Linked DNA regions of Callithrix jacchus. The protein of the gene in region 6 binds, or shares a complex with, the protein of the main gene of each other region. Links are inferred from orthologs where the notes say so. Each region holds a gene or a part of one and is shown on either strand. Other genes may lie near its edges.

Region 1 (3,500 bases), on a different chromosome or scaffold from region 6:
ATAGAAGAAAAACTGCATGTGACACTCCATGGTCTCTAGAACAATGGACCAAAAGAATCTTCCCAGTACTATTTTATGAATAAGCCAATTTGAGCTATTTGGACCATTTCAAAATTACTTTGAGATATTATTTTCAGTTACTCTCATTTTTCTGGAATTGGTTTTCATGCATTTGGCAACCTATTCAGTAAGATAGATTTAAAGCAGGAAAAGTTCTTAGGTATGTTTATAAGCTTTAAAAACATGAGGAATTTATATGTGTTATTACTTTTGGCAGTCTTGAAAGGTAAGTAACTTAGATAGCTAAAATGAAGATGTACAGACAGGATAGCTCTTTAAGTAGTTATTTTTTCCTAACAGAATATGGACTCCACTCTTCACTATATTCACAACGATTCAGACTTGAGCAACAATAGCAGTTTCAGCCCTGATGAGGAAAGGAGAACTAAAGTACAAGTAAGTGACCAAAAAAATGTATTCTTTTGTGTGTCTGTTCCTAATTCCTCTTTTAGAGCCCATTTCTGACCTAATTTGACCCTTCTTTATGATGAATGTTTTAAAAATTATGACTAGTATATCATATTTTCCATTGAAATAGTAGAGGAACATGTAAGCACAAATCTTCCCTTTCCTACCCCTGTGATCCCATTCTTCCTTCAGAGTGACCATGATCATGAACCCTGCTATCTTCCTTCATGTATCTTCATGGGCACATAAATGTACACATGTACCCCTTTTTATCATTCAAGACAACTGTGGTCATCCCATCCTACCTAGGTATGTCCTCATGTTCCCATTGCCAATAATTATAAAATATAGCTTGATTTCAGAGATGAAAATATTTTTAAAAAGGCTCAAAGCCATTTTAAAGTGCTGTCAGTAACAAGCTGCAAGGAAACTGTGCTCATGGAATCACTGGAATGTGATAGCTGTGCCTTGCCTTGCTCTTTTTTTTTCCTCTTCTAACAATGTGACCTGGTGATCTCTCCTGTAAGCACACCAGGACTCCCTCACCTTCACAGCAGCGCAGCACAGTGTTAACGCCATACCTGTTGTCTCCCTCGTAAGAAACCGTGAGAGATGCTACCTGTTGTAGTTTCACTTTGATGCTATAAGTAGTGCTACATTCACCATGACTGCCTATACTTGTTGTTTGCTTCTAGGACTTTATTATTATTTGAGATGGAGTCTCCCTCTGTTGCCCAGGCTGGAGTGCCGTGGTGCCGTCTCGGCTCACTGCACCTTCCACCTCCTGAATTCAAGCCATTCTCCTGCCTCAGCCTCCCAAGTACCTGGGACTACAGTCACAAGCCACCCTGCCCAGCTAATTTTTGGTATTTTTAGTAGAGATGGGATTTCGCCATTGGCCAGGCTGTCACGAACTCCTGACCTCAAGTGATCCGCCTGCCTTGGCTTCCCAAAGTGCTGTGATTACAGGTGTGAGCCACCACACCTGGCCTGGACTATATTATTATTGTTAGAAGTAACAATAATTTCCCAGGTCAAATGGTATATTTTGTTGTTATTTTTAGAGATGGGGTCTCAGCTCCCTCTGTCACCCAGTCTGGAGCACAGTGGCAGGATCATAGCTCACTGCAGCCTCGAACTCCTGGGCTCAAACAATCGATCCTTCTGCCTCAGCTCCCCAAGTAGCTGGGACTATAGATGCGCACTACCGTATCTAGCCAATTTTTATTTTATTTATTAAAAATGAAATATTCAAAACAGTGTTCTGAAACATGCTTCTTCCCCACTTACAGACATATTTTCAATATTTCAAATCATTATTTTAATGAGTTTATTTCCATTTTCATTTTGTGTATATGGGTAATTTGTTTATGTAGTTCAAAATTCAAGATACTTAAAAGGCATTCAGTGATGTTTCCTTCTCAGTTTTTCTTCTCCATTCATCCATTTTGCTTTTGAGATACAACCAGTTTTACCTTTATGTCCTTCCATAGCTATATTATACACACCTAGGCAAGATCGCAAATATGTTCTTCTTTTCTTCACATATATACAAATTGATTAGAGATGTGCTCTTCAATTTTGTATAAAAAATTGCTTAAATTTTCATCTAAAGAAGCCATGTTTTTAATTTTTGTTTTGAGGCAGAGTCTCGCTCTGTCACCCAGGTTGGAGTACAGTGGTACTATCATGGCTCACTGCAGCTTCTACCTCCCTGGGCTCAAGTCATCATCTCACCTCAGCCTCCTGAGTAGCTGGAATTAGAGGTGTGAGCCACCATGCCTGGCTAATTTTTTAATTTTTTAGTAGAGACAGGGTCTCACCATGTTGCCCAAGCTGGGCTCAAGTGATCCACCCACCTTGGCTTCTCAAAGTGCTGGAATTACAGGTATGAGCCACTGTGCCTGGCTGTTTTTTTTTTAATGAACATGTAAATTGTGCAGAGCACCTGTTATACTGCATTTGCTGGGTTACAACAAGCATTATCATCTCTGCCTACATTTAAAGGTGCTGGTGTTATTTTAATGTGTCTTTTCAATTTAGTAATTAATTCTAATTGTCCTTTGAGCTATTTTCTGTTTTAAGATGTTATCCATTGTTTTCCTAGAGTTACTTTTATTTGTTCATATATGTTTCCCTTAACATGGTTTTCGTATCTCTTAGTTTATTAGATACCAGAAAATTTGGCATTGGTTTTTCCCATTTGAGATGCTATGTTAAAATCTGTATATTTAAAAATAGTTTTGCTCAATTGATATCTAAACTGCTCAAAATGTATCTCAGCTCCTCAGTCACTGTGGTTTCTCTTTCTCCATTAGGATGTTGTACCTCAGGCTTTGTTAGATCAGTATTTATCTATGACTGACCCTTCTCGTGCACAGACGGTTGACACTGAAATTGCTAAGCACTGTGCATATAGTCTCCCTGGTGTGGCTCTGACACTCGGCAGACAGAATTGGCACTGTCTGAGAGAGACATATGAGACTCTGGCCTCAGACATGCAGGTGAGTAAAGCAGTTAAAGAATTAGCAGAACATGCATGTGGAAAGCACAGTGCTTTGCTTTTTGTAACCTAAAGAATTTCTGTTCATGTTCTAGCATGTACTTAATGCTATAGGAAATTATGTATGGAAGAGCTTAAGAGTAATAATGGCTTCTTCTCCGATAAAACATCAAATGGTGGATGATGCTGGTGCAGCGGAGGGGGGCGTGGGCGGGGATGCCGGAGGCCCCGGGCACCCTGGGGGCCCTGGGATGGGGAACCGTGGTGGCTTCCAGGGAGGTTTTGGCAGTGGCATCTGGGGCCGGGGTCGTGGCCACGGAGCTCGTGGACGCAAAGCTGAGGAAAAGGAGTGGATGCCTGTCACCAAGTTGGGCCGCCTGGTCAAAGACATGAAGATTAAATCTCTGGAGGAGCTATATCTCTTCTCTCTGCCCATCAAGGAATCTGAGATCATTGACTTTTTCCTGGGGGCCTCTCTCAAGGATGAGGTTTTGAAGATTATGCTGGTGCAGAAGCAGACCCATGCTGG
Region 2 (3,500 bases), on a different chromosome or scaffold from region 6:
ACATTTGAACCTGTTTTGGAAGAATAAAAATTTTTAGAAAGCAAAAGAACCAGTTAAGCCCATGTGATAGCAACTTAACTACTTAAAATTTGGAACCCCAGATTTCACCATCTCTATGCAAATTTGAAAAACCACTGAATCACTTTATCAAGTCACTAGATGAAGAGACAACATTTAAATCAATTTTTAACATTTTAAAAGTTTATAATTTGGAAAACAATGTCTTTGGAATTTGCCACTTTTTTTTACACAATTAGGCATACAAACTTGTAATGATTTAAAAACAATGTACATATTATCTAAAGATGAGGAAATCTTATAAAGAAAAATATTCCTCCATATTGAGAGAATGACTATTAATATTCCGGAGTGTCTAATCCTTAAGTATTAAGGAGTTAATCCTTAAATCTTTTAACATGTCTTATGCAATTGAGTTCAGTATATTTAAATTTTTCCTTTGTGATAAAAACCACATAAAACTTACTATTTAAAAATTTATCATTTTTAAGTATACAGTTCAGTAGTGTTAAGTATATTCACAATGTTGTGTATTAAAGAAATTAACACATAGAGGTCAAGGGCCATAAATGGTATTCCTAACATTTTACTAAGATTTTAACAATTACAATTTTGTATTTTGCCACAAATAAATTGCTACAAGAATACCACTGCTACTTAAATACCAACTAGACAAATACTTAAAATACTTGTTCCTCAAAATTTTATTAAAAAGCTACCTAAAACTGACTAGGCCAAAACATTTTATCTCAGAATAATTTCTTACATTAGTTGTGGCCAGCATGTTCTCTGGATCAATTAAAGTACGAAGAAGTCCCATTAACTGAACAGCGCCTCCTAGCTCAGGATCAGTATCACAGATCATTTGTTCAATTACCACATTAATAAGAAGAATATCCTGGTAACAAAACAAAACAAAACAAAACAAAACAAAATATGTTTCCATTAGTCCTGGTTTAGATCTAAGACAAAACACTAACTGAAAGAGCAAAATGAGAATCATATTGAGAAAAAGCAAAGAATGGGAAAGCTTATTTAAACTTTTATTTCTAATGCTTTTGAAAGTTCTAGAAACATACTACATACTAGAGTGAAAAAAAACCCACTCCAAAAAAAAAAAAAAAGAAGAAAAAAACAAAAACAGAGAATGCTGCAGCTTATAGAAAAGGAAAAACAAAATTCTTTAGCATTAATTCTTTTTCAGTGGAGATTCTAACAGTTTCTCATTTTGGGTCTCAGACTTTGGCATAAATTTAGAGGTTGACTAAACAAGCAAGATCATGGGAACATAAGACATAAATTATGTCAGCCTCTAATTAGAAAATCCTTCCAAGCCAAAAAAAAAAAAAAAAATGACCAAAAATAACCCAGTACACAACTCTTCATGCAAGTGAACACCATGTTATATAACGATCTAATATTAAATAGATACGTTGTTACATTAGTAACATGCTCTTGTGTTTTATTTATTTATTTATTTAATTTGCTTATTGAGAGGGAGTCTCATTCTGTTGCCCAGGCTGGAGTGCAGCAGTGCAATCTGGGCTCACTGCAACCTCACTGCAAATGAGTCTCCTGCCTCAGCCTCTAGAGTAGCTGGGATTACAGGCGTAAGCCACCATGCCTGGCTAATTTTCATATTTTTAGTAGAGACTGTCCTGATTCTAAGCTGGCATCCCTATTTTCTGATTAGAAAAGATAAAGAAAATCGTTTGTTTCATTGATTCTAAAACAGATTTCTTAAAAATTTTAACCTCTTAAAATTAAGATACATTTTGTAATTGATGGCATTTGATAGTCACTATCAGTGAAGTGGTAATCATGACAAAATTACATAACAATCTACTGACAATGTCTGGTAAGATCAAGAAAATATTAGCATCTGCAAATCTTAGGTTTGATAGATACAGTAAATAAGAGGAGAAAAGAAGAAATGGCAAGAGCAAGAATATTTGAATTGGTAGAGTAAAAATAATTGGTGGATATTGTAAAAACATTTGCAGTTTGCTTAATACAAACACAAGAATTTAATAAACAGTCCATTAATTGGCTGGGTGCGGTGGCTCACGCCTGTAATCTCAACACTTTGGGAGGCGAAGGCAGACGGATCACCTGAGGTCTGGAGTTCAAGATCAGCCTGGCCAACATGGCAAAACCTTGTTTCTACTAAAATACAAAAAAATTAGCTAGGTGCGGTAGCTGACACCTGTAATCCCAGCAGCTTGGAAGGCTGAGGCAGGGAGAACTGCTTGAACCCAGGAGGCGGAGGTTGCAGTGAGCCGAGATCACATCACTGCACTCCAGCCTTCTGAGAGCGGGACTCTGTCTCAAAAAAAAAAAGCTACTGACAAAATTTGCTTTACAGCAACTTAAATGAATGCTTCTAAGTACATGTGTGTGTATGTAAGAAATAGAGTTGGCCCTCTGTATCTGTAGGTTCTATATTCACGGATTAAACCAAGTGACAATGAAAAATACTTGGGAAAGGAAAAAAAAAAGAGAATGGTTGTATTCATACTGAAACATGTACAGACTTTTTTCTTTTATTATTCTTATTCTCTAAATAGTATTCTCTAAACAATACAGTATAACAACTATTTATAGCATTTGCATTATATCTGTATTATAATGTAAAATAAAAAGGAAGATTTGCATAGGTTATATGCAAATTCTATGCCATTTTATATAAGGCACTTGAGCATAATTGGAATTTGGTAACCTTATGTCCCAGTGGGAGGGGAAGGTGGTTTCCTGGAACCCACCCCTCACAGAAACTGAGGGATGAGTATATATAGCATATACATACACACACACACACACACACACACACACACACACACATCAATACTTCTTTCAACTCATTCTGATATATTTGAAGAGTGAAATGTAAGTAGCTCCTCAAATTCTACAGAACATAATGCTCAAACTTCTTAAGTCTGTGTAATAACAAACAGCCTGGACAGAGAAAACGAAAGCTCAATCTCTTTTGATTTTTTTGAGTGGGGTCTTGCTATGTTGCCCATGCTGGTTTTGAACTCCTGGGCTCAAGAGATCCTCCCACCTCATCCTGAAAAGTAGCTGGGATTACAGGCATGCACCACCACCACATCTGCACATTCATTTTTAAAAGTTAGGGGGACCAGCACCACAACCCGTACATTCATTTTTAAAAGTTGGGGAGATTTCTTGATGTGACATACTAAAGGAAATATTACTTCAATGCCATACCTGCCACAAAGAAGTAACTAGAACTAATTGTGAGGAAACAACAGACCAACCAAAGTTGTTGGATAATGGACCAGAAACTTTTTGTTTTTGTCTTGGTTAAAATGAACATTACTGGGACAAAGAATAAAATATGAATGAGTACTGTAGTCAGATGTTAGTATTACAAAAATCTTAGTATCATGATTTTGATAATTATACTGTGATAATGTAAGAGTTTTTAGCTGGTGGAAACTGAAGTAACTAGGGGTAAAGGG
Region 3 (4,098 bases), on a different chromosome or scaffold from region 6:
TGGCCTAGTACCTCCTAGCTCCACTCAGTTTCAACTGGGCAGGACTCTCCACCCGTTAGCCTTCCACAGCTCTCTGCTGCCTCACACCCCATATGAAAATCTAAATGCCTCCGCCTGGCTCTCAGTGACCACAGAGCACAGTCAAAAACCTGCATGCACAACTAACTTCCCCTCCAACTAGCTGCACGATGTTGGACAAGACATTATCTACTCAGAGGCTGTTTCTTCTTCCACGAAATGGGGTTAAGTACTCAGCCCCGTCATGCCTACTCCTTAGGCTGTTACAAGGAGCCATGGAGACTGAATATATAACTTCCTCCTATTCTGCAAACTCCAGCATGCTATCCAAGCATTATCTACCATCGCCACCACACTGATCCAAGGCCTGCGCAGGAGATAAGACTTCAGAGGAAAAGAATAGTGCCAGACAACAACAGGTTTAAGTTCCTAAAAATGCCCATCAGGACTGAGGGAGAGGGGACAATTAAAAACACGGTGGGGCAGGTCTGGTCAGGGACGTTTCCTTCAGCTGGCAAAAGAGAAAAGCCACAGACAGGGTGAAAAAGAGGCCCACCCTGCTCACGATCCCCTCAGAGGCCCTGTCTGGCTGCAGGGAGTCTGTGAGGTGGGGCCGAGCAAAAAGCCTGGGGGCCACAGATTCAGAACTGAGCTCTGCCATGTCCTCAGTGGGTGACCTCAGTCAAGTCACCAGGCCTCTACGAGTCATGGTTTCCTATTCGGTAAAATGGAGCAAATGATTCCAACCTCTCAGGATTGCTGGGAGGAAGAGACGAATAGACGTTTTTTCGCCAGTACAGGGCCAGGCCAATAGTGGGTGTATAGTTCAATAAACATAGGGTAATTCTGCGGGCTCTTCTGCCGCAATTCACCAGCCTGGTAGAAGTCACAATCACACAGTTCCCCAGAGAAGGCAGGTAATTAATTAAACCCCTGACTGTTCCTCACACTCTCAGGGCCTCCAATGCTACACTTGTCCTGCTTGGAATGCCCTTCCCTCACTGGTCCTGCCTGTCAGCTAGCCAAATTATCTTCATCCTTCAAGGTCTACCTCTATTTAGTAGCCTTCCCTGATGGCTTTAGCCCATCTCATCGTTGCCCTCATCCAAGAGAAATAGAACACCTAGTGACTATCAAGCATGTATGCTGTACCAAGACACTGTGCTAAACTTAAGCAGCAACTCACTGAATTTTCACAACCATCTTATTAAGTACTATTAACTCTGCTTTGCAAGTAAAGACACCTTAAGATCACTAACACAACTAGTAAGTGGCAGAGTTCAGATTCAAACCTAGAGCCATCTCACACTCCAAAACCTAGAGCCTTAGGTCATCCTACTTCCCACAGAACTTTAAACTGGCCTTCCTATCATGCTTAATTCTTTTTTTTTTTTTTTTGAGATGGAGTTTCACTGTTGTTACCCAGACTGGAGTGCAATGGCACGATCTCGGCTCACTGCAACCTCCGCCTCCTGGGTTCAAGCAATTCTCCTGCCTCAGCCTCCCGAGTAGCTGGGACTACAGGCGTGCACACCACCATGCCCAGCCAATGTTTGTATTTTTAGTAGAGACGGGGTTTCATCTTGTTGACCAGGATGGTCTCAATCTCTTGACCTCGTGATCCACCTGCCTCGGCCTCCCAAAGTGCTGGGATTATAGGCGTGAGCCACCACGCCCGGCCATATCATGCTTAATTCTATCCTGGCTTACTTGCTACGATTTCTCAGGGTCCCATCCTGAATGTGAGTGATCCAAATCCACCTTCTTGCATTATGGCCTGAAAAAGGACAGGACACTAAGAACTGGCTTCAGACTCCACTCCTTACTTGTGGGTAACTTTGAACATGACAGTCCTCACCTGTAAAATGAGTACAATACGCCAACCTTTATGGGTGGTTGTTGGAATTCAGACTTTTATAAATCACAGCGTCTTTAACCTTCCTGTCTTAAACCTTTGTTTTGTTGCTGACTCTTTTACCAACTCCTTATTCGAGGCCTGTCTCACAGTTCGCCACCCACCCCCAGAAGCTTCTGTCCCCCAGACAGATGGGCTTGTTTCCCTTGGTTTCCTAAGTACTTTACGTAACACTCTTACTCCACTGGAAACACATCTTCTAATACTTTAAGTGTCTTTATCCAGCTGTCTTCCCCCAGCAGGCTAGCTCTTCCTCGAGCGCAGTGGCCCCATCCCGTTCCTCTCTGGGAAAGCTTCCAGGAAGGGGCAAGCCCAAAATTCTCAGTTGGGTTTGCCCCAGGCCAGAACCCGTGGGCGGCGGCTTGGCCTCCCTTCCGTGGGGCCAACGGGCTCACCTGGCCTTAGCGCACAGGGCCTTGACTTCGCTCTCCTTGATGAGCTCGCAGCGACGCAGCTGCTCGATCTGCCGGTCCAGGTCGCTGATCTCCGCCATGGCCCACCCCCCGGCGCGGGTCAGAGTCGGGGCCACCGCCCCCTCCGCACCGCACAGGGGTCTCCTGGGAAAGGCCAAGACAAGCCCGCGGATTAGAGTGTCCGTGAGGGGCGAGGAGCGGACAACTGGATTCTAGGGCCAGCCCGGCCCCACCCCCACCCCCGCCTCCCTTCACATCGGCCCCGGGACCCCCCCAGCGTCCCACGGCCTGGCCGGACCCCCACTAACTCCCGTCGAATCCCACGGTTCGCGCTAAGGACGGTGGCCTAGAGGGGTCTCGCATTATTACCGCCGCTGCGACTCCGGTTCCGGCTATGGGGCGCTTCCTGCCTCCCGACTTCCCTCCGCTTTGGGCCGCCGCCGCCGCCGCCTCTACTTCCGGCCCCGCCGCGGAAGCAAAGGGAAGCCAGTTCCGCCGCGCGCCGGATGTGGCGTCATACACGCTCCTCACCCTCCCTCCTCGCGCCCCCGGCACCACTTCCCAAGTCTGAAATCGGGAAGGAGCGGGAGTAATCCGGTGGCAGCTGGAGGCCAGCGGAAGTGTTTGTGGGCTCAGCCGCAGGTGATGTTGGGCTGTTAGAAACCCTAGACCAGTCCCCTCCCATTTCATTTTATAAAAATGTTTAAATTTAGACAACTTTCTTTTTTCTTTTTGAGACGGAGTTTGGCCCTTGTTGCCCAGGTTGGAGTACAATGGCGCGATCTAGGTTCACCGCAACTTCCGCCTCCCGGGTTCAAGCGATTCTCCTGCCTCAGCCTCCCGAGTAGCTGGGATTACAGGCATGTGTGCCACCACGCCTGGCTAGTTTTCTTTTTTTTTTTTAAGACGGGGTTTCACCATATTGGTCAGGCTGGTCCTGAACTCCCGACCTCAGGTGATCCTCCCGCCTTGGCCTCCAAAGTGCTTGGATTACAGGCGTGAGCCACTATGCCCGGCCTAGTTTTGTATTTTTAGTAGAGACAGGGTTTCTCCACATTGGTTAGGCTGGTCTCAACCTCTTGACCTCAGGTGATCCTTCCGCTTAGGCCTCCCAAAGTGCTGGGATTACTTTGGGTTCATGGGCGCGTGAACCACTGCGACCGGCCACAACTTTTATTTTTTTCTAAATTAGAGATAGTGTCTTGCTCTCTTGCTCAGGCTGGAGTCCAGTGGGGCGATCATAGCTAACTTCAATCTCGAACTCCTGGGCTCAAGCGATCCTCCCTCTTCGGCCCCCCAAAGTGCTTGGATTACAGGCCTCAGTCACCACGCCTGGTCATCCCCATTTCAGCTAGGGAAACAAGTCGAGCTGGGACTAGGCCTTGTAACTTTATGTTACACTTTTTTAAGTTACACATTTTTGTTATTTATCCGACACCACAATCCTTGGAGGATCCAACTTTGTCTTTTTCAATATTGAAGCCCCAGTGCTTAGAATAAGGCCTGGCATGGTAAGCATTTAGAAATACTTGTTAATACATAGAAATACTTAATACTTGTTCAATGGATGAAGGAAGCCCAATTCAAATCTCTTCCGGTGCCTTCAGAGAAATCTTTGCCATTGACAGCTTCAGAAGTTAACAAATTGGAGTCCACCTTTCCTATGCCAAGCCTGTATCTCAGTCAGCATGATTTCTGTGATTCCAAAATGTTCCCCTTAACATTTCTTAGTTGCTTTTTCTTTCTTTCTTT
Region 4 (4,194 bases), on a different chromosome or scaffold from region 6:
GGGATTTTTTTTTCAAAGGATCATTCAGTGAATAACACGGGACTGGAAACACGATCTATAAACAAGAAAGGAGAACAAGAGACTTGCCAGTACCTGAAACTGGCGCTGAGCTAAAGAAACAAGACAACAAATACCCTAGGAGGTAAATAACATCAGCTTTCAAAATCTGATTCTGAAAAAAAGAGAAAGTGAAGACTAATTTGCCAAAAGGGAAAAAAATGTCGTGTAAACTAATGAAAAATTTTTACGTAAATATGCACAAAATGCTGTAGGAAATTTCTGTTTCTAAAGGATTTTCATCAATTCGTTAAACATCATTAATGTTCACTGTATTAGTTTTTAAGATGCTCAGTCTACAAGGCAATGTTTTAAATAGTTCAGAAAAATCTTGTAAATATTTGCAGTAACCATTTGCCTTAAGCAATTCTGTAGAGCCTGTGAGATGGTTTGAAATTTAAACGACAGTAGGCCCAACTAAGTTTCTAAAACCCCTCAGACAAAATAATAAAGCTTGCATAGCAAAAGTAATACAAATAGGACATCCTGAACAGCAAAAGTAACTATCACATTTGTGGATTTTTTTCCATATAGTAGATCCCATATAATGTTCATACTCTACAATGAACTTAAAACTAATCACTGTGTACTCAAGTCTCATCTAAACTTACTGAATCTTACATGAGAAGAACCAATGCCAGAAAAGAACAAAAAAAGATGAGGTTCAACTCAAACCATCTGTTCTTCCTCCTCCAAGCAACATTCTATAAATTACGTATTTTATTTGGGTTCTCAAATTCGTAAGTCCACAGCCAAATATAATTTATAATACAGTTAAGTACTATGCACACAAAAGTACTTTGTTGAAGTGGCTAAGTAAATCTGAACATAACGGGAACATACATTTCAGAAAGCATTCATCGATGCTGCCACAGGGGGAAAAAAAAGAGCAATTTTACAGAATGATTAGGAAATACCTGAGCAGATAAACAGCCCTTTCAATGTCACTGAGGTCTTCATCAACTGTCAATCTTTCTATTTCTTCTGGTGTCTGTCAAGGGTAAAATACACATTATGCACCACAAACATTGGGTCAGTCTTGCCCCCCAACCTCCCAGTGAACCTCTATGAGGATAAAAGAATGAAAAAGTTTCACAATTAAGCATTAACAATGAAAAGTAATCAAGGAGCTGAGGATACCAGGCAACATCAATCACGGAGGTCTCTAATTGGGTGGGCGAGTTTGGGGAGGGGATTGTTTTTTTCTGTTTTTCTTCTTCTAGCTTCTAGACTGCAGCTTGAGAATCGCATCGTGGCTTCAGAACCTTGGCTGAAATCCATTTCATACGCATGTTATAAAACTAATAAATACACACACTTTTTATCTCTAATACCTCAAGGCTATTTCTCCAGCAGTTTCCAACCCACGAAATGCTAAAAGGGGGGATGGATGAAGACTGCAGACGAGTGGGCATGAAAAGGACAAGATCTGGAGTGGGGGAGGGAGGAAAATAAACTCTGGGGCTGGAAGAAAAACAGAGATTTGAGATTGCGGCAGGTGGGAATTAGACCAGCTAAAGCAGCTATTAAGCGATGGTCAGAAAAGGGGTCCGTAAATTAGGTTTGCCTGCGCTAAGGGCAGGAACCTCCCGGAGGAAGATGACTCTGCGGGGTGGGGAAGCCAGTGGGGGCGGGGGGAACAAGGTGAAGGTTGACTCCCTCAAGGGGGTTGGGGAGCAGGGTCCCAGCTAGAGTCCTGGAGGGGCTGGGAGGAAAGGATGCGCGGTGACTCAGGATGGCGGCAGAGGATCGCGAGGGCTTTGAAGACCGGAACCAGGACGACACTGAGAAAGGGTGCTAGCTGGGAGGCGAGGGGAGGCCGGGCTGCCTCGAGGGCAAGGGGACCGGAGCTTGATCTGACTCGGTGGGCTAAGGGTGAGGGGATGGGACACGGGTGGTGTCTCCGGGAGAGGTGGGGGGAGGAGTAGGAGCGGTGTGGACCAAGGGGTGGGCCTGGGGCCAGAACCCGGGCGTCGTCAGCGGACCAGGGGTCGGGGAGCCCAGGAGAGGACCGGGGAGAAGTGGGCTGCGGCCTCGAGAGGCAGCTCCCGCGGGGGGGGCGGAAGGAAGGAAGGGGGCCCGCGACTGAGGACGCTGGGGCTGCCCCGAGGGCTGGGGCTCGGCCGTTCCTGGGGGTGGGACGGGGGGATTCGGACGCCTCAGGAGGGGCAAGGGCCGCGGGGCTGGCGCCCGGTCAGGGCTGCTACAGGGACCCGTCTCTTGGGGATGGGGGTCCAGACTGAGAGGACCGAGTCCGCTCTGAGGAAGGGTCCGGGAGGAGCTGGCTTAGGGCGACAGGGGCTGGAGGAGGACAGAGGGGCCGGTCTGACTGAGAGGGTCCCGGCCGCCCGGAGAAGGGGAGGGTGGCGGGGTGGGGCGAAGGCCGGCGCGGGGCCGCGCGAGGCAGGCGGCCGGACGCCCTGAGGGCAGGTCTTCTCCCCGGGGCGCACCTTGAGGCTCCGGCGGACCGGCCTCTCGATGATGGTGAGCTCCTGCAGGTCCTCCATGTAGCCGAACAGGCAGTTCTGACTGAAATCCATCGCGGCGGCCGGCGGCGGCGGATGCATGGACCGCCGGGCACCTTCGCCACCAGGGCCGGAGCGGCCCCGGGATGCCGGACGCGCTCAGCCCAGCGGCCGCCCACCAGCAGGACTTTCTCCCGCTTTCGGCCGCCGGAGCAGAACGTGAGGCTGGCGGGTGGCTGGAGCACGAGCGCAGCCCGGCGAGGGGGCGGGGCGGGCCCGGCGAGGGGGCGGGGCAAGGCGCGCGGGCGCGCTGCGGGGGCGGGGCCAGGGGCGGGTGCCCGCCACCTTGCCCGCCTCGGCCCCGCCCCCTCCCGGGCGCCGCGCACACGCGGCCGGACGCAACTGCCGAGCAGCTACGCGGCAGCTCCGCCACCCCTCTGCGCCCGCTCCCCGCCGCCCTCCTTAACCCCCCGTCCGCCCGCAACTGAGGGCGCCCCACCCCGCGGCGCGTGCGCAGAGCCTTTTGCCTCCCGCAGCCGGCAGAGGCGGGCTGGGGGCGGGGAGGCTGAGCCAATGAGAGCGGAAGCCGAGGAGAGGAAGCTGGCGGGGCTGCGGCTGCACCTACTGACTTAACTGTCCAGTTATTCCCAGACCGCCCACCCTAGCTGGCGGGGCAGCGGACCCAGAGACCGCCCCCGGCACAGCTCCAACCCTGGAGGAGGGCTGAGTGCCGCAAATAAGCAATTAGGACGTGAGGTGCCCGGCAGACGGGGGGTGACTAGCTTTTGGGCAAGGGCAGCAATCGGAAAAGGCCTCCTGGAGAAGAGTCATTTAAACTGAATCTTAGAGACCGATAAGGCTTTCCTAAGAGAAATAATTAGAGCAAGCCCGTCTGGGGTTGAAGCCTGGGTGTGTTTGGTTGGGTTTGAGAAGTGCCGTCAAAGTAGAGCTCCGGGCTCAGGCATCCAGGGCTTGGCGAGGTGGGTGGAAGAGGAAGAGGACCTAGGTCCTCGGTGGGGGAAAGCCCTGCTCTGGACAGCCACGTTGAGTCCCTTGCACTTAGTTCTGTTAACAATGGGAAGCGATGGAAGGGGGATTGGGGCGATTGTTTTGGACCTGGGGAACAAGTTATGTTGGTACCCTTCGGCTCGTCAGTCAGCAAGGCCCCTTTTTTGTTTTTATTTTCCACTTGTTCCTCCACACCTTTCTTCTTCCCACCATATGCGCCCTCTTCTGAATTAAGGTATGTCCCAGTTCATGCACTGTATACAGCCTCAAAAGATACATGGTTTGTGTCTGTTTTTAACATACATGAATGGCGTTGTGATGAGAACTCATTCTGTTCCTTGTTTTTTCTCTTAGAAGATCTATTCATGTGACACTATACAACGAGTTCATTAATTATGACCAATAATAATATTTGATTTCTGTGTCTAACATATTCTACTAACCATTTCCTCAATAACGGACAGTGAGGTCGCCAGCAGTTCCTTGCTACACAGACCACGTTGAAATGGTTGTTAGACGTGTCCCTTACAGAACATAAGAAATCGAGTCGCTGGGTCATGAGGTCCACAGCGCTTGGCTTCACTCTGTCATGTTTCCCTCCAGATGGCTTTGCATTGACACCCACACCAATGGCACATGAAGGTGGGAAGATACCCGTTTCCCA
Region 5 (3,500 bases), on a different chromosome or scaffold from region 6:
AGATAAATGTATTATGACTTGGAAGATCTTTTAAGACTTTACCTCAGGTCTTCAAGTAAAATAATTACTTGAAATCTTAATTTATTAAGTATAGAAAGGAAGCCAATAAATGTAATGGGAGCTGTTTGGTAGCACACATTACATATGAAACAATATGTTTTAATCTTCGTGTCTGTTCCTGTTTAGAAAGTTTTTTATTTCTTAAGTAGTAATAGCTAGTGATGGGCAAAAAAAGGAAAAGTATGAATTAAAATAGAAAAGGCCATTTTACCTATAACTGCTTTCCTAGAGCTAGTAATAATTCTAGTTCATATTGACTGATTTGACATGTTTTCCATTCATTTAAGATACACGTGTAAACAAACAATATAGGCAATGTAGTCTGCTAAGTACAATAGTAGTCCTCTATACAGCATCTCGTGATTGATAATGGAGGAAGGAGTAGGGTTCTGGTTCCAGTTTCTTTTTGTTCTTTAATGAGGAGCTAGTTTTCCCTAGCTAATGGAGCCTCGCTGTTCTGGTCCAATTTTGATTCCTAATTTCCTTGGATAGTCCTGAGTTCTCCTGATCATTTTCTTTAGCTTCATATGGTTCTGTTTTGTTATGTGGTGATTTGTCACTTATGTGTTTTCTTGGTCTTCATACATGCAAAATGCCAGTTTTACTCATTAAGTATGAATAATTTCAAGTTGTCAAATCTTTGCTTCACTGCAATATGCTGTGTAAAATACTGGCTGCCAGTATGTCTGTTTTTCTTGATGACGGACACTTCTATCCAAAGTGCTGCTGTGAACATTTTACAAATGTTTTAGCAAGAAGTGATTGAGGTACTGTTTAGTGCAGGTTCCTGCCCACTTGTGTAGCCCCACGCACACATAATATCACACCCTCTTGTTAAGATTGATTTATTCCTTTGTAGTACCATAAACATCCTTATTTTCTCTACTTCTATACCCTCAACCTCAGCAGTTCAGAGAATGCCTTTTTTTAACCATTTGATATCCAGTTGGTAGAATATAGTATATTAGGGATACGTCTTGAAATTGGATCCTATTTGGGTAACAAACATGGTGAAGATCATATTAATGAGGTATGACCTGTTTGTACATTTTAGAAAAAGTAAAGAGGGAAGTAATAACCAAACTAATTTAGTAGGGCCACAAAAGATTTTTCTGGAGTATTCACAACAGTGAATGTGGAGCTGGTAATCTAGTGTGTGTGTATTTAGAGTGAGGCATGTCTTGGGCTGGAGTGGTATTGACTCTACTTCCACTTGCTGAGATAGTATGTAATTAAAATAAAATTTGGGTCAGGCATGGTGGCTCATGTCTGTAATCCCAGCACTTCAGGAGGGCCAGGCCAGTGGATTGCTTGAGGCAAGGAGTTCCAAGACCAGACTGGCCAACATGGCAAACTCCATCTCTGCTACAAAATTAGCTGGGTATAGTGGTCTATGCCTGTAGTCCCAGCTACTAAGGAGGCTGAGACAGGAGAATTGCTCGAACCTAGGAGGCAGAGGTTGCAGTAAGCTGAGATGGCACCAGTGTGCTCCACCCAGGTGACAGAGCAAGACTGTCTCAAAAAACAAAACAAAACAAAAACCAAGATCTTGATGAAAAACTAGTGGTGAGAAACTGACCAGGCAATCAGGAAGGGTATTGGGCTTGGGTAAATTTTAAAATCCGTGTCTCAATTATAAAATGAGGAAGTAATACAAAAAGTTTTAAATTTTACTTTTTAAATAATTGAGTTATCCTCTGTATCTTTAAAATACTAAAGTAGCTTTATCTTCATTTTCATTCTCATTTGAGAGATTGTAGAACCTACCTTTTAAAAGTTAAGGTTATAAAACTTATAAAAGTGAGGGGTCAACAAAGGATGGTGCATGCCTACTTTTGTAAATAATGTTTTATTGAAATACAGCCATACCCATTCATTTACAGGTGTCTGTGACTACTTTCATACTACTGGAGCATGGTTGAGTACTAATAGTAGAGACCACATGGCCCACAAAGCTCAAAATATTTACTATCTCACCTTTAAATAGGCTTAGAAAATAGAGTCTTGCCAAAATTGTATTCTTTACTAGTTTGGTTTTTCCTTCTCTTGAACAACAAAAGAGCATTGCCAATACTACTTTTCCTTTTTTCAGTTATTGTCATTTAAATTATAGTGTCCTGAAATTATATTTTAGAGCGGGACACGGTGGTTCACGCCTGTAATCCCAACACTTGGGGAGGCTGAGACAGGCAGATCACAAGGTCAGGAGTTTGAGACCAGCCTGACCAACATGGTGAAACCCCATCTCTACTAAAAATACAAAATTAGCCTGGCATGGTGGCACATGCCTGTAATTCCAGCTACTTAGGAGGCTGAGGCAGGAGAATCGCTTGTACCTGGGAGGCAGGCTGTGGTGAGCCAAGATCATGCCGTTGCACTCCAGCCTGGGCAACAAGAGTGAAACTCCAACTCAAAAAAATTTTTTTTGTATAATCTTAGCATTAACATAATTGCATATGTCCTTTGTTTCACAGGAAGATGAAAAATTCCTGACAGATTTGTTTGCACAACTAACAGATGAAGCAACAGATGAGGAAAAAAGACAGGAATTGGTAAGAAATTAGAAATTATGAAAGGCATAAAAATAAAACAACAAACGTTTTATATTGACAATCTTTTTTTTTAATTTCAGGTTAACTTTTTAAAAGAATTTTGTGCATTTTCCCAAACGCTACAGCCTCAAAACAGAGATGCTTTTTTCAAGACTTTGTCAAACATGGGCATACTACCAGCTTTAGAAGTCATCCTTGTAAGTTTGTGTCTCCTCATTTTTAGTTACCATTTTGTATCCTAAAATTAATATTTTAGTGTAACATGCAAATATTCTTTTATAGCCAATATTTAATATTAGCTGGGTAGTTCATTAACTTAAAGAACCTATAAAATTCCAGTATTAGACAGTTTTCACACAGTATTGAAAAAATACAGTTAAGGAATTTTCCATAATTTGATGATAATTTGTCAGCTTTGCAATTTATTAGCTGAAATGTTAAAATATAAAGGCAAACAGAAATAAATGATTTAGAAAGTATAATTTTATCCATACAATAAGAGTTTTATATGCAGACGAATTTTTTTGACTTTTCTTTTACATTGCAGTTTTTTTTGTTTGTTTGTTTGTTTTGAGATGGAGTTTCGCTCTTGTTACCCAGGCTGGAGTGCAATGGCACGATCTCGGCTCACCGCAACCTCCGCCTCCTGGGTTCAAGCAATTCTCCTGCCTCAGCCTCCCGAGTAGCTGGGACTACAGGCGCACACCACCATGCCCAGCTAATTTTTTGTATTTTTAGTAGAGATGGGGTTTCACCATGTTGACAAGGGTGGTCTTGATCTCTTGACCTTGTGATTCACCCGCCTCGGCCTCCCAAAGTGCTGGGATTACAGGCTTGAGCCACCGCGCCTGGCACATTGCAGTTTTTTTAATATGCTGTTTTGTTAGG
Region 6 (3,500 bases):
ATCTTGAAATTCTTTTTACATGTTGGGTTATAGTCTAGAGAACAGGTAAGCAATCTGCTCAAGGTCAAAAACAAAACTAATCACTGAGGTCTTGATTCTTCACTCAGATCTTTTAACAGGACTTTGCTTGATGTATATTAAGAAATATGCCTAAAATCAGCCTTTTAAAAATTCATGAATGAATCAGTTACTATTAGAACTGACGTTTTCATTAAGCAAAGTCTGTGTTAAGTGCACCTATGCATACTTGCGGAAATTTACTTCCAAATGGCCATCAGTATCTAAAACCAGCTTAACAAGGTTTCCCAATTTAACTACAGAAGTATTCCACCTACCCTAAAGAAGATATTCCATGAGCATTCTACAATTATCTGTATAAACAGCAACAAGTTTGATCTATGATCAACATATGAGTATCTAATAAATATTAAAATTATTAAACTATAGATTAAAATGCAGATCTCTCATAGAGTTAAGTGATGTCACTTTGGTACATTCACCATTATTGTACTTTATTTAATAAAGAAATACATTTGCTCTTGCAAATATAGCAATTGCAAGTTTACAAATAAAACCACAGACCTCAAAGTCATAATGCTAAATCTTCAACTTATAACCAACAAAAGTACATCAATTCGTTTACAAATGGTCCATGGCACTACAATTAAAAAATATCAAAGGTCACAGGATCTTAGGTAGGTTTACTGACAATTTCATAAATATTCTAAAGAAACTTTCAAAATTTCTAAACTTAAATTTGTTTCATTTTAACATTTTTGAAAATCTTTTAAAATTTACAATGTTTAATTTTTTCTCCCTCTTGGGTACAGTTAATCCATATTAAGATTTTATTCGAACTATTAGACATAGTCATAAATATATCATCTAGCTGCTGTGAATCTGACAGTCAAGTCAGTCAGTAGTATATTATCCTACAAACATAAATAGATCCAAATCGTTTTTGTGTTTATAGTCATGACAATTTAAGTAGTCAAAACGCAAAACTCGTGGTTGCCCCCCAAATCACCCAAAAGCATATAATACAGTGTCAGAAATTGTTGGCATCACTTTTAGAAGCTCATCTGTGTAGTTCACGTATCTGAAACTTAAAAAAAGGGGGATTCTTTCATATTTTGATAAAAATGTACTCAAATATTTCATAACATTAATATTTATTGCTTTATATGAATACTGTATTGAAAGCCCAAGCATTCAGTTTACACACAGAAATTATACAATTATATACCGCTTCACAAAGGCAGTGAACACATTACATTCTACAAAATCTACTTTACAGAAATTTAAAAACTCTAAATATCAAAAGGTACAGCTGAAGAAACAGGTATAAATTTGGCAGCCAGTAATTTTGACAGGGAGGTTGCAGCTTGCATGACTTTAAATATGTAAATTTGAAAATATTGAATTTAGAGTAATCATTGTGCTTTGTGTTGGTCTGAAAAATATAACACTGGCTGTCGAAGAAGCATGTTCAAAAATATTTAATTCACTTCAAAATGTCATACAAATTATGGTGGTTTCTATGCACCCCTAAAGCTTCAGTCATTCAGCTCAGGTACATAACTAAAGTAATATATTAATTCTTCCAGTACAGTGGTGTTTCATACCATTGACATTTGCATACTCTAGAATAATTTAGAAAGACGTGTAATATTCACAATGTTCTGAAAAGCAAGCAAAAGGTCAAGGAACCTGCTTGGTTATTCTGAGATGGTCTCATATCAGCTTCATAAGCATTCATTCTACAAAAGAGTAAGCTAACATTTGAACACAATTTCCAAGATAAAGCATATTTTCTCATAAATAGTGAAGTCTTTTTCTCAGGCACCTCACAAGTATACAAAACAATTTGAGTTTGAACAGATCTCTTGGAATGTGTTTAGCCTGGTATTTCAACAGACTCAAGATTTCCAGGGTTTCACAAGGGCCAGATTTTATTTCAATTACTCAGAAGAGAAAGAAAATGTCTTCTGAAAGAGGTGAACTCAATCATTACCAATAGAAAAAGTATCCACTGTACTCATCTCTTATAGAAACAGAAAAATATAACATTTCCCCCCTTAGAATAATATATATATATATATATATTTATGTATATATGACTTAAAGTTCCATTGTACATAGCCAAATAATAAAATCTGGAAACCAGGTTGAAACCCTATAATTCACATGTTAATATGTTGAAACTATGACCAAAATATGAAAACTGCCAGAGCTATCAGAGAGACAAGAAGCTTCTTGCATATGCATAAACTAAATGTGATAATCTCAAAAAACTTTTCAAAATTACCTTCCAGTTTAAAAACTTTAATTCCAAATTAAAAAAAAAAAAATCTATACACAAACCACTGATTTGCCCAGACCAAAGAAAGATAAAGAGAAAAAAAAAAAAAAAGTCAGCGGTAAGGTAAGCAGGACCCAGAGGAGCTGATATTCACAGTTCTTACATATACAACTCTTTCAGGAATTATCCATAAAGTACTTTATTTTACAACCTGCTTCTCCTGTAAAACTAAAGGTCCACTTTATTACATAAAAGTTTTATACAGTGTTAAAACCAGAACTGTATGTAAAATACTGCATCTAAATGTTTCTAAATAGTTAGTCTTGTTCCATTGGTTCATCGGTGACTTCTGTGGCTTCATCGTAATTTCCCATGGATGATTCTGAAAGAATCTCTCCAGTTTTACTGGAATTGGATCCTACTAATTCTTCTGTTTCAAGGCAGTCAGAAGAACCACTACTTACAGGGCCTTCGTTTTCACTAACTCCAGAATGCAGTAAATCTTTCTCAGCTTGAGACACTTCAGATTTCTCCATCTGATTATTTTCCTCAGAAGTCTCTTCACTCACAGTTAAGGCATCATCAGATTCTTTTTCTTGATTTTTTCTTTCTGGGATCATTTCTCTTGATGTCATAAAAGACTCTAAAAATAAGCAAATGTTGTTGTAGTTAAATTTTATTTTCAAAATACCTCCACAGTTAAGTTTCATGAATTCTGATATTCTATAGTTCAAATCATATCCCCTGAAATTCAGCAGCAACTACATACAGGAGGGAGAAAAGCCCAACATCAGCATTATAAGGAGTTCCGTTATGTAAAATTCTTTCACGAAAAAAAATGAAGTACAAGAATTTGAGGATCTCCTTACTCCACCCTTTTACAGATGGTCTCTAAATACCTTCTTCCTCCTCTTCATCCTCTTCTTCATCCTCTTCTGTACAGTGCTGCCGGGTACAATGACTTTCTTTGTCTTTATCCTGAGATGAAGACGATGCTCCTGTTTCTTCTACCACAACTGACGAAGTTTCACTGGAAGTCGTTTGACTGGCTGTTTCTCTGACTTCACCTTCTTTGTCAAACCTGAGTCTTTTTACCTCACGCTCCTCGGCTTCCACGGTATCTTCATCTGGATGTTTATTTTTCATAGGGCTCACTGAGGAAACTTCTGATTCAGATGTCGAAGAGTCACTGTAAATG

What was found.
Region 1: PPP4R2 (region 6) and PPP4R1 share a complex: the UniProt entries of both Homo sapiens proteins name them as parts of the PP4 complex. The link is inferred for Callithrix jacchus from reciprocal best matches to the Homo sapiens genes PPP4R2 and PPP4R1.
Region 2: PPP4R2 (region 6) and PPP4R3B share a complex: the UniProt entries of both Homo sapiens proteins name them as parts of the PP4 complex. The link is inferred for Callithrix jacchus from reciprocal best matches to the Homo sapiens genes PPP4R2 and PPP4R3B.
Region 3: PPP4R2 (region 6) and PPP4C share a complex: the UniProt entries of both Homo sapiens proteins name them as parts of the PP4 complex. The link is inferred for Callithrix jacchus from reciprocal best matches to the Homo sapiens genes PPP4R2 and PPP4C.
Region 4: PPP4R2 (region 6) and PPP4R4 share a complex: the UniProt entries of both Homo sapiens proteins name them as parts of the PP4 complex. The link is inferred for Callithrix jacchus from reciprocal best matches to the Homo sapiens genes PPP4R2 and PPP4R4.
Region 5: PPP4R2 (region 6) and PPP4R3A share a complex: the UniProt entries of both Homo sapiens proteins name them as parts of the PP4 complex. The link is inferred for Callithrix jacchus from reciprocal best matches to the Homo sapiens genes PPP4R2 and PPP4R3A.

The regions. Positions count from the first base shown.
Region 1 is NC_133514.1:53,379,232-53,382,731, forward strand, and holds part of PPP4R1 (serine/threonine-protein phosphatase 4 regulatory subunit 1), read left to right. Parts: intron 1-360; coding exon 361-456; intron 457-2,786; coding exon 2,787-2,972; exon of another isoform or gene 2,973-3,500. UniProt on the Homo sapiens protein: Regulatory subunit of serine/threonine-protein phosphatase 4. May play a role in regulation of cell division in renal glomeruli. The PPP4C-PPP4R1 PP4 complex may play a role in dephosphorylation and regulation of HDAC3.
Region 2 is NC_133515.1:58,603,867-58,607,366, reverse strand, and holds part of PPP4R3B (serine/threonine-protein phosphatase 4 regulatory subunit 3B), read right to left. Parts: intron 917-3,500; coding exon 785-916; intron 1-784. UniProt on the Homo sapiens protein: Regulatory subunit of serine/threonine-protein phosphatase 4 (PP4). May regulate the activity of PPP4C at centrosomal microtubule organizing centers.
Region 3 is NC_133513.1:29,443,165-29,447,262, forward strand, and holds the start of PPP4C (serine/threonine-protein phosphatase 4 catalytic subunit), read right to left. Parts: upstream 2,801-4,098; 5' UTR 2,716-2,800; intron 2,491-2,715; 5' UTR 2,427-2,490; coding exon 2,329-2,426; intron 1-2,328. UniProt on the Homo sapiens protein: Protein phosphatase that is involved in many processes such as microtubule organization at centrosomes, maturation of spliceosomal snRNPs, apoptosis, DNA repair, tumor necrosis factor (TNF)-alpha signaling, activation of c-Jun N-terminal kinase MAPK8, regulation of histone acetylation, DNA damage checkpoint signaling, NF-kappa-B activation and cell migration.
Region 4 is NC_133509.1:128,995,894-129,000,087, reverse strand, and holds the start of PPP4R4 (serine/threonine-protein phosphatase 4 regulatory subunit 4), read right to left. Parts: upstream 2,801-4,194; 5' UTR 2,625-2,800; coding exon 2,508-2,624; intron 1,049-2,507; coding exon 975-1,048; intron 1-974. UniProt on the Homo sapiens protein: Putative regulatory subunit of serine/threonine-protein phosphatase 4.
Region 5 is NC_133509.1:126,317,256-126,320,755, reverse strand, and holds part of PPP4R3A (serine/threonine-protein phosphatase 4 regulatory subunit 3A), read left to right. Parts: intron 1-2,534; coding exon 2,535-2,612; intron 2,613-2,692; coding exon 2,693-2,809; intron 2,810-3,500. UniProt on the Homo sapiens protein: Regulatory subunit of serine/threonine-protein phosphatase 4. May regulate the activity of PPP4C at centrosomal microtubule organizing centers.
Region 6 is NC_133516.1:54,865,091-54,868,590, reverse strand, and holds part of PPP4R2 (serine/threonine-protein phosphatase 4 regulatory subunit 2), read right to left. Parts: intron 3,492-3,500; coding exon 3,202-3,491; intron 2,946-3,201; coding exon 2,620-2,945; 3' UTR 1-2,619. UniProt on the Homo sapiens protein: Regulatory subunit of serine/threonine-protein phosphatase 4 (PP4). May regulate the activity of PPP4C at centrosomal microtubule organizing centers.